2 linked regions of the Callithrix jacchus genome follow. The protein of the gene in region 2 interacts with the protein of the main gene of each other region in a pairwise test. Links are inferred from orthologs where the notes say so. Each region holds a gene or a part of one and is shown on either strand. Other genes may lie near its edges.

Region 1 (5,151 bases), on a different chromosome or scaffold from region 2:
CAGAGAAGGTGTGCATGTGTGTGATTAAAAAAAAACAGGCTGGGTGTGGTGGCTCACGCCTGTAATCCTAGCACTTTGGGAGCCCGAGGTGGGTGGATCACCTGAGGTCAGGAATTCAAGACCAGCCTGGCCAACATGGAGAAACCCCATCTTTAAAAACAAAAACAACAACAACAACATTTGGCCGGGTGGTGGCTCACACCTGTAATCCCAGAACTTTGGAAGGCCAAGGCGGGCGGATCACTCAAGGTCAGGAGTTTGATACCAGTCCGGCCAACATGGTAAAACCCCATCTCTACTAAAATGGAAAAATTAGCCAGGCATGGTGGCTAGAGCTTGTGGTCCCAGCTACTCAGAAGGCAGAAGCTCGAAAATCCTTTGAACCCGGGAGGCGGAGGTTGCAGTGAGCAGAGATGGCGCCACTGTACTCTAGCCTGGGAGACAGAGCAAGACTCTGACTCAAAAACAAAACAAAACACAAATTCTTTTTCTTTATTGTGTATATTTTACAATATGAAACATACTATATTCTACATTATAAGCAATATTTCCCACTCCTCCACCCCCAGCCCCTGGTAACACCTCATCGACTTTCTGTCTCTATGAATTTGACTACTCTAGTTACCTCATATAACTGAATACAATTTTTATCCTTTTGTGACTGCCTTATTTCACTTAGCCTAATGTCTTCAAGGTTCATCCATGTCACAGCATGTGACAGAATTTTATTTTTTTTCTCCCAGGCTGGAGAGCAGTGGGGCAACCTCGCCTCCCAGTTTCAAGCGATTCTCCTGCCTCAGCCTCCCCAGTAGCTAGGATTACAGGCGTGCGCTACCACATCCGTCTACTTTTTGTCCGTCTCAACCTCTAACGTCAGGTGATGCCTGCCTCGCCCTCTCAGAGTGCTGGGATTACAGCAGTGAACCACTGCGCCCGGCCACATTTAAATTTTAAAAAGTAATAAATGCTAATATAAATGCATAAAAGTAAAATTAAAAATATTTTTTACCCAAAGAACACTGAACGCTTAAAAACACATTTTTTAAGTGTCAGTGTGCAGAGGAAAAAAAGTGAAAATTAAAAATGACTTTAAGGCCGAGCGCGGTGGCTCACGCCTGTAATCCCAGCACTTTGGGAGGCCAAGGCGGGTGGATCACGAGGTCAAGAGATCAATTGACCATCCTGGTCAACATGATGAAACCCCGTCTCTACTAAAAATACAAAAAAATTAGCTGGGCATGGTGGTGCGCGCCTGTAATCCCAGCTACTCGGGAGGCTGAGGCAGGAGAATTGCCTGAACCCAGGAGGTGGAGGTTGCAGTGAGCCGAGATCGCACCATTGCATTCCAGACTGGGTAACAAGAGCGAAACTCCGTCTCAAAAAAAAAAGACTTTAATAAGTAACTGTTTAAAAGTTAAAGCTATACTTGGAAATGTATAAAATCTATACTAACTCCTTCTCCTCACTCCCCCGAACTCAGGCGGCAGGCACGTCCCTCGCCCTGCCCTGGCCCCCACCTGGCCTCGCGCTCAGGCAGCGCCTTGAACAGCCCGGCCGGCGTGCGAGGACCCCGCACGGCCAAGATGGCGGCGTCCGTGCGACAGGCACGTAGCCTGCCGGGGCTGGCGGCGACGCTGGGCCTGGGTTCCCGTGGCTACCGGGCCCCCCCGCCCCCCCGCCGCAGGCCAGGACCCCGGTGGCCAGACCCCGAGGACCTCCTGACCCCGCGATGGCAGCTGAGGCCGCGCTACGCAGCTAAGCAGTTCGCGCGTTACGGCGCTGCCTCCGGGGTGGACCCCGGTTCGCTATGGCCGTCGCCGGAGCAGCGGAGGGAGCTGGAGGCTAAGGAGCGCGAATGGTACCCAACCCTGGCGACCATGCAGGAGTCGCTGCGGGTGAAGCAGCTGGCCGAAGAGCAGAAGCGTCAGGAGAGGTGCGTGCGTGCAGGAAGACGGGGAGCTGCCCTCTGTGTCCCTTGGGCGAACTGGGCCCCAAACCGTGCCTACCCCACTGGGGGCACCTCGCAGCATCTACATGTTGTACATTTATATATACGCTTACCTGGCCGCAAAACAAACTCAGTAACAGTCCATTTAGGCATTCATCAGCAAGTCGTTTTGTGTTTTTTTGTTTTTTTTTTTTTTAAGTCTTACTGTTGCCCAGGCTGGAGTGCAGTGGCGCGACCTTCGCCTCCAGGGTTGAGCGATTCTCTTGCCACAGCCTCCCGAGTAGCTGGGATTACAGGCGTGAGCCACCGCAACCGGCCATGATCAGCAAGAATTTACTGAGCGCATACCGTGTGCAAGAACCCGTCCCAGGCTGCACGCGGTGGCTCACGCCTGCTATCCTAGCATTTTGGGAGGCCGAGGCAGGCCCCAAAGGGCTCCTGAAGCCAGGAGTTCGAGACCAGCTTAACTAACATGACGAAACCCTGTCTCTACTAGATACAAAAATTAGCCGGGCATGGTGGTACACGCCTGTGATCCCAGCTACTCGGGAGGCTGAGACAGAATAGCTTGAACCCAGGAGGCAGAGGTTGCTGTGAGCTGAGATAAGGCCACTGCACTCCAGCCTGGGCAAGAGAGGAAAACTCCATCTCAAAAAAAAAAACAAAAAAACAAAATCCTGTCCCAGCAGGAAACAGGCGAGATAATATCAGATGGCCACAGTGGACTGCCTATTAGGAAGGTAAAAGAGTGAAGAGTGCCTGCCTGAGGGCAGCTTTGGTTCAGTACTCTCTGAGGAGATGATGATTAAGCCAAGACCTGAATAACCAGACTTAGCCATGGGGAGATCTCTTAGGTAAAGAGTTCCTGGTAGAAGGAATAGCTGAGGCAAATGCTCTGAGATAGGATATGCCTTAAAGAAGAGCCAAGTGGCCAGTGTAGCTGGGGAAAAGTGAGGGCAGGAAGGTGATGGGTCCTGGAACCAAGGGCAGAGGTCGGGTACAGAGAGGCAAGTCTGAAGGACCACAGGCTTTTTTTTTTTTTTTTTTTTGAGGTGGAGTTTCGCTCTGGTTCCCCAGGCTGGAGTGCCATGGTGAGATCTCGGCTCACTGCAACTTCTGCCTCCCGGGTTCAAGCAATTCTCCTGCCTCAGCTTCTTGAGTAGCTGGGATTAGAGGCGTGCACCACCACACCTGGCTAATTTTTTGTATTTTTAGTACAGACAGGGTTTCGCCCTATTGGCCAGCCTGGTCTCAAAACTCCTGACCTCAGGTGATCCACTTGCCTCAGTCTCCCAAAGTGCTGAGATTACAGGCATGAGCCACTGTGCCTGGCTGGATCAGGGGTATCTGTTACAGATAATGCCACTTCCTGGATGGCAGAGGGGGTAGGTCAAGTGTGTTCCTGGTATTTAACCTTCTGGTTTTCCCAATAGCCTTAAGAGGAAGAAGGGATTGCCCTAATTTTAGAGATGAGGAAACTGAGGCTTGGCAAAGTGAAGTCATGTGTCTGATCACCCAGGCAGGGAATGTTGGAGCAGGGACTCGTTTCTGCCCTTCCTCAGCCAGATGACCCTGTTATAGGGCAGCTTAATTCTTCACTTTTCCAATCCGTAAATGAGGCCATCATAAAAAAGAACGAGATCATGTCCTTTGAAGGGACAAGAAGGGAGCTGGAGGTTATCATCCTTAGCAAACTAACACAGGAAAAGAAAACCGAATACAACATATTCTCACTTCTAAGTGGGAGCTAAATGATGAGAACACATGGACACACAGGGGAACAACACACATTGGGGCCTTTTGGAGGATGGAGGGAAAGAATCAGGAAAGAGAACTACTGGATACTAGGTTTAATATCTGGGTGATGAAATAAATCTGTACAAAAAGTTAAAAAAAAATGGGGCTGTGACTGGTAGCTACAAACTCAAGTATTGATGGGAAATGTCTTTCTTGCTTTCACTCCTGTGCCTAGAATTGGGCCTGGCTACAGTAGGTACTCAGCAATGTCTGTGGAATAAACATGTGAAATTGTCCATGGGAGTGGCACTTGGTGGCTCAGTAGGTAGCTCAGTGAAATGTTGATTTGGCTTTGGCACATGGGGTACTGGGGCTTGACACACTCTTGTGATCAAATTCATGCACAAGTAACTCTCTTCATCTCTTCCTGTTTCTTCACTTGTCAAGGGCTTCTCCTGACAGTTAACCTTCTGGGGGAGTTGAGAAGGCTAGTGCGCAAAGACCTATGGGTGGGTTATGGTGGGTGAGCTCTGCCCTGGCTGAATGCCAGCGTCACGGCCCACTCTCCCTCCCCTGCAGGGAGCAGCACATCGCAGAGTGCATGGCCAAGATGCCAAAGATGATTGAGAAATGGCGGCAGCAGCAACGGGAGCGCAGGGAGAAGGAAGAGGCTGACAAGGAGAGGAGGGCCCGACTGCAGGCTGAGGCCCAGGAGCGCCTAGGCTACCAAGTGGACCCAAGGAGCACCCGCTTCCAGGAGCTGCTCCAGGACCTAGAGAAGAAGGAGCGCAAGCGCCTCAAGGAGGAAAAACAAAGACAGAAGAAGGAGGCACGAGCTGCTGCAATGGCTGCGATGGCAGCCCAGGACCCAGCAGCCTCAGAGGCACCCAGCTCCTGAGCCTTTGTCCTTTCCCAATAAAAGCCTGCTCCCTGGCAGTCCCCCTGAAGAGACCTGTGTCCCCTCAAAGTGTGCCTCTCTGGATCCCCTGGTTCCTCCCACAACACCTAGGGCTGGGCTGGGGAATCCCCAACTTGGCTCTACTCAAAAGGGGGACAGGGATTGTAGGCCCTGCTTACTGAAGCTTCAGGACGAGAAAAGGCGGGGGTGCAATGGGCAAATAATAAAGAAGCAGATGGCAGAAGAGAAGAAGGCTTCTGTTTACCAACATTCTTCTCCGGTAATTAGCCAATTATGGGGTGGGGGGGAGGGGAGAAGTATAGCCAAAACAGACTGTGGTGGTGATGGTGGGGGCCAGGGAGAAGCAGTCCTTGTAAGGCTGGGCTGGGGTCCACTGCCTGGAAATGACACACTGGGGGAGGAGACACTGGGAGCCCCAATCTGCAAGGACTCACAGACTCCTCTCCCACTTCCCGGCACCCATCACCACGCCTGCCTGTGCCCAGACAGCCCCCAGACTGAGACAGGCGGGCGTGGGGAGCCCCAGCAGGCACGGACCATAGGGCTG
Region 2 (5,311 bases):
GAATGTAGGCAAGATGAATGATATCTGCCTTGCAGTGTAAATGAACAGTTTAATCAATACACAAACTCTACAGGTAAATACAGCGATTTCCACACTGGGCTGTTTCTACCAGAGGGCAACAGGAGGCACTCAACCCCACCAGCAGTGACCCTGTGAATTGCCCCATAGATGCCTCTGTCCTTCGTTGGATGCAACGTGGTACAAGCGGTCTGAATCTGTAGATGTTAGACAGGCGTGGGAACCATGTGAATTTGTAAGTAAAAGCTTGTACTGTATGTTTCTGGAGCTAGAATCTAGTCTCCATCAAACTCTCAAAAGGATCTGTGATCCCCTTCCAAAGGTTAAGAGTCATTGATTTTTCTCACCAGAAATTAATAAGAACAGCTATCCTTGGGGAGAAGGACTGATGGGGGTAGGGAAAGATTTTCATTAAAAAATTTTGACCTTTCTGAACGGTCTGCATTTTCTTTTCTTTTTTTTTTTTTGAGACGGAGTTTCGCTCTTGTTACCCAGGCTGGAGTGTAATGGCGGCATCTCGGCTCACCGCAACCTCCACCTCCTGGGTTCAGGCAATTCTCCTGCCTCAGCCTCCTGAGGAGCTGGGATTACAGGCACGCGCCACCATGCCCAGCTAATTTTTTATATTTTTAGTAGAGGTGGGGTTTCACCATGTTGACCGGGATGACCTCATGATCCACCCGCCTCGGGCTCCCAAAGTGCTGGGATTACAGCGTGAGCCACCGCGCCCAGCGGTCTGCATTTTCTAAATACGAATCAGGTTCATTAAAAAGTCAAGGGTTATCTGAGCAGTGAGATAATGGCACCTTTTCAGATTTTGTCTCTATACCTGTTCGTATTAAACAAACACAAATATTAATAACATATTTTTAAAATCTTAAAAAAAATTAAAAACCCTGATAGTATCAGCACATACACAGAAATCACTCCATTATGCAAAGTTCATCCTCTATTATGAAAGGCAAAATATGTACATTTCCTATGAACCACTGACTTCAATTCTGTAAAACTTGCATACCAAGTAGACAAGGTGGAAAAGAAAAAGGCAGAACATTTCATGTATTTCAATTCAGACGCATACAAATGTCAAGTCTTACAAGTACGTGTCAGCTTTCGTATATAATGTCTTCTGCATTTGCCTGTACCAGCCAATGGGCTAGCCGGTCGGCGTTTGGTGCTTGAAGTGATGGAACGGAGGACGGGGTTAAATCCACTACCCTCTCCCCACGCACTCTAGTAATTACTCTATTTCCACGTCATGTTTCCGGGTGCATGTGTCCCTGCTCACGCAGAAACTGAAGTTCAAAGCAGGCGGAGTCACCCAGGTTCTTTTTGTTGTCCCCAGAACCGAATTTAGGAGTTGGGTCCCCAGAGGATCTGAAGACACCTGGGGGACTGTCTAACTGGCTGATTCTCACGTGGTAAGAGGCTCTCAACCTCGCCACCACGTGGTGCCCAGGGCCGGGAAAAGGGAGAGCGGGCAGTAGGGAGCTGTATCAGGGGCATTTAAAGTGCCTTGACGTCACACACTGCCAGGAACTCAGCTGAGTTTTCAGCAGGACATTCCGGTCATCTTCCCTCCCTCCCCCGGGCTTCTGTGCCCAAGCCTTGAGCTCTTCCCTCGCTGTGGCGGAGGGAGGAGCACTAAACTGTCGGAACAGCCAACACAGGGGCGTATCAGTCTTCTCTTTTCCCCGCCCTTTCTCCTAGCGCCTCCTCTCATTGGCTAGTGGGCGTGGCTTCTGCTGTACCACACACGCACTGAGACCTCTGGATGGCCGAGCGAGCTGGCCGATCATGAATTATGCATGACGGCATGCCGGGCCCGGCCGGGGCTGGACGGGGATTGGCTGAAAGGGCTGTAATTCAGTGGTTTCCGGAGCTGCGGCGGCGTAGACTGGGAGGGGGAGCCAGGGGTTCCGACGTCGCAGCCAGAGAACAAGCCCCAACCGGATCCTGGACCAGCAACCCTGCTTGGCGCTGTCTCTCCTCGTCGGCAAGAAGAGGCCCTTTGGCCTGAGGGAGCCCCGCCGCCCGCCCCTGGCTCACGCGCAGCCCCGGCCTCTCGGCCTCCGCGGGAGAAACAGGTGAAGGGGGTGCAGGGTGGGGCCGTCGGGGAAGCCTGGGGACCCGGGGGCGCCGTAGGGCCCGGGGGCCTTTGGGACGTTGGAGAGGTTGTATGGACGCTGCATTGGGGCGGGGAGAGATGAGACGCGGAGGGTCGCCCTGAGGGAAGACTCCCCTGGATGACTGGAGCGGGCCTCGGAAGGGACTGGGGACTCTGGAGGGAAGTTTCGTTCTTCAGAGAAACAGTAAGAACGCGCTCGAGAGGGAACCGTGGGGCGAGAGCGCACTCGGCTGCGGCGGCAGGCGTGAGGGACTGTCCCCCGATTTCCTGCTCCTTGGGGCCCTGGGGACGTTCCGGCCACCGGAGCGACTGTCACACTGGCGGGGATCACCGGCTCTGGTGGGTGTCGGAAAGCGCTTCCTTTCCGCTCGGCCGGCGGCTCCCGCTGAGCCACTTCCTCCAGTTGCCGGGTTCCCGCTCCTTCAGGAGCCAGCTATACCCCTCTGGAGGCAGGAATAGGTGTCTGTCCCCTGCAGTCTCACGGACTGGCTGGTCTTGGGTAGGTTTATTGCATAAGAATCAAGTTCCCTCTAAGGAAATTGACAGACTGGTACTCTTCCTAAATTCCCTCCCATCTTTTTCTAGGTTAAGCTATACTCCCCTCACTCCACTCCCCCGCCTTGTAAAAAAGAGAGGAAAAAGAAAGAAGACAAAATAAAATCCCAATTAACCCGTCCAGCCAGCTGTAGAGAGAAATAAACCTCTTGACATTGTTCTTTTCCAAGCACCTGGTAAAGTCGGCCAGAAGATAAATAATTGAGCCATTGCCTTTACTGGATTGTGTTGTTGCTTAATTGCATAGGACAGAATGAACCAATCGAGAGTGGGAGTTTTCTGTCTCAGAGCCAAGATCTTGGGTAAATGCAGAGGAGAGTGAAACAAAGGCTGGCTTTGAAAAAAACCATGTGTGCAAACTTTACCTGCGTTTGGGGGTGTGTGTTTGCACTGAAGTTAAAAGGATTGAGACCGTCACCCAAGTTGGTATTTCCATGTTTGGTACACATCACTCTGCTATATCAGGTCGTTGTATGTGTGGTGACAAAATCAGTGGTTAGTCTTTTTTTTTTTTTTTTTGGAAATGTGTATAGTGTGTACCTGCTGGCTTTATTGTATATGCAACTAAAGGTTTATGTAGTCTGTGTATGGATTGTAAATTTTTGGCTGGCTGTGCTAATAAAACATTGGCTTGAATAAAGCAAAGCAGAAAATGATCTCAATCTTTTATATGTGGCTTTAGATTGTGTTATGACTTAATTCAGCCAGTTTTTTTTATTTTATATCAAATATATCTATGTTCTCTGAGTCAGCACATTTATTTCTTTATTACATGTTCCAGACTGGAGTGCTAGCCCAGTTTTTGTTCAGTTTGCACAGTGGGATGGGGGAAAGAAGTCTGGAATTAAATGTTTTAGAGGTTGGAGCCTTGATTTTAGTCTGTATATTAGCACACCATCACAAAGAACCATTGGTAAATTAAAGAATCTTTTGTTTTTTATGTAGTTCATTTGGGAAGAATAATCACTTAGAAACACCCACAGTTCCAGGCATGGTGGTGCACACCTCTGATCCCAGCTACTTGAAGGCTGAGGCTGGAGGATTCCTTGAGTCCAGGAGTTGAGTCTGGTCTGGGCAACATAGTGAGAGGCCAGGAGTTGGGTCTAGAGTCTAGTCTGGGCAACATAATGAGAACTTGTCTCTAAGAAAGAAAGAAAAAGGAAAGGAGGAAGAAAGGAAAAAAAAATACCCACAGCACAGTTATGAATTGACCTACAAAGGACTTGAGGTAGGTAGTTCACATAACAATTACCTTAATATTATAGATAAGAAAATTGAGGCCAAAGAATCAAGACACTTGCCCAAGGTAGCAGAGTGCCATAGTGGTGGCATTTGTGCCTCCTGCAATTTTTTTCTTTTCTTTTAATTTTTTTTCAAGAGAAAGTCTTACTCTGATGCCAGGCTGGAGTGCAGTGGCACGATCTTGGTTCACTGCAACCTCCACCTCCTGGGTTCAAGCGATCCTCCTGCCTCAGCCTCCTTAGTAGCTGGGACTACAGGCACGTGCCACCATGCCCAACTCATTTTTGTATTTTTAGTGGAGACAGGGTTTCACCATGTTGGCCAGAGTGATCTCGATCTGTTGACCTCGTGATCCACCTGCCTCGGCCTCCCAAATGCTGGGATTACAGGCATTAGCCACCGCACCGGCCTTTTTTTATTGTTATTATTTTATTTTATTAATTTTTTTTTTTTTTACACAGAGTCTTGCACTGTCACCCAGGCTGGAGTGCAGTGGCTCGATCTCTGCTCACTGCATCCGCCACTTCCCAGCTTCCAGTGATTCTCCTGCCTCAGCCTCCCGAGTAGCTGGGGTTACAGGTGCACCCCACCACGCCTGGCTAATTTTTGTATTTTTAGTAGAGATGGGATTTCCCTACATTGGCCAGGCTGGTCTTGAACTCCTGACATCGTGATCTGCCTGCCTTGGCCTCCCAAAGTGCTGGGATTACAGGCATGAGCCACTGCAACTGGCAAGTAACAGTGGAATTCTAGTTTCTTTTTTTTTTTATATGGGGTTTCACCATGGTGGCCAGGCTGGTCTTGAATTCCTGACCTCAGGTGATCCACCCACCTTGGCCTCCCAAAGTGCTAGGATTACAGGCGTGAGCCACAGTGCCTGGCCGTTAACAGTGAAATTCTAACATATATCTGAACAGTAAAATACCACCACTGGGCTGAAAGACTTCATGGGAGATATGTATTCAAAAACAGGTGAAAAAGGAAATGTAAATCGAGCTTGCTGGTTATTTTTCTATCTAATTGCTATGTCTAACTTGGGAAGTAAAGAACTGTATTTGGGCTGGGCGCGGTGGCTCACACCTGTAATCCTAGCACTTTGGGAGGCCGAGGTGGGTGGATCACCTGAGGTCAGGAGTTCAAGACCAGCCTGGCCATCATGGAGAAACCCCATCTTAAAAAAAAAAAAAAGAACTGTTTTTGGTCAGCATAATTTATTATCAGAATTTAGCTATTTACTAATGAAATACTAATCTAGGTTTGTTTTAGGTGAAAGACAGTCATGACCCAAATGTCATTTAAACCAGAGTGCCTTGAGGATAAAGCGGCTTTATCCTCCCTGCCTCCATGTGTCTTGACATTCAGATGTGA

What was found.
Region 1: the proteins of STAT3 (region 2) and GADD45GIP1 interact in binary tests that used the Homo sapiens proteins (3 or more experiments, as listed by UniProt). The link is inferred for Callithrix jacchus from reciprocal best matches to the Homo sapiens genes STAT3 and GADD45GIP1.

The regions. Positions count from the first base shown.
Region 1 is NC_133523.1:11,776,496-11,781,646, reverse strand, and holds the start of GADD45GIP1 (large ribosomal subunit protein mL64), read left to right. Parts: upstream 1-1,572; 5' UTR 1,573-1,583; coding exon 1,584-1,933; intron 1,934-4,264; coding exon 4,265-4,583; 3' UTR 4,584-5,151. UniProt on the Homo sapiens protein: Acts as a negative regulator of G1 to S cell cycle phase progression by inhibiting cyclin-dependent kinases. Inhibitory effects are additive with GADD45 proteins but also occur in the absence of GADD45 proteins.
Region 2 is NC_133506.1:121,806,630-121,811,940, reverse strand, and holds the start of STAT3 (signal transducer and activator of transcription 3), read left to right. Parts: upstream 1-1,910; 5' UTR 1,911-2,105; intron 2,106-5,209; 5' UTR 5,210-5,311. UniProt on the Homo sapiens protein: Signal transducer and transcription activator that mediates cellular responses to interleukins, KITLG/SCF, LEP and other growth factors. Once activated, recruits coactivators, such as NCOA1 or MED1, to the promoter region of the target gene.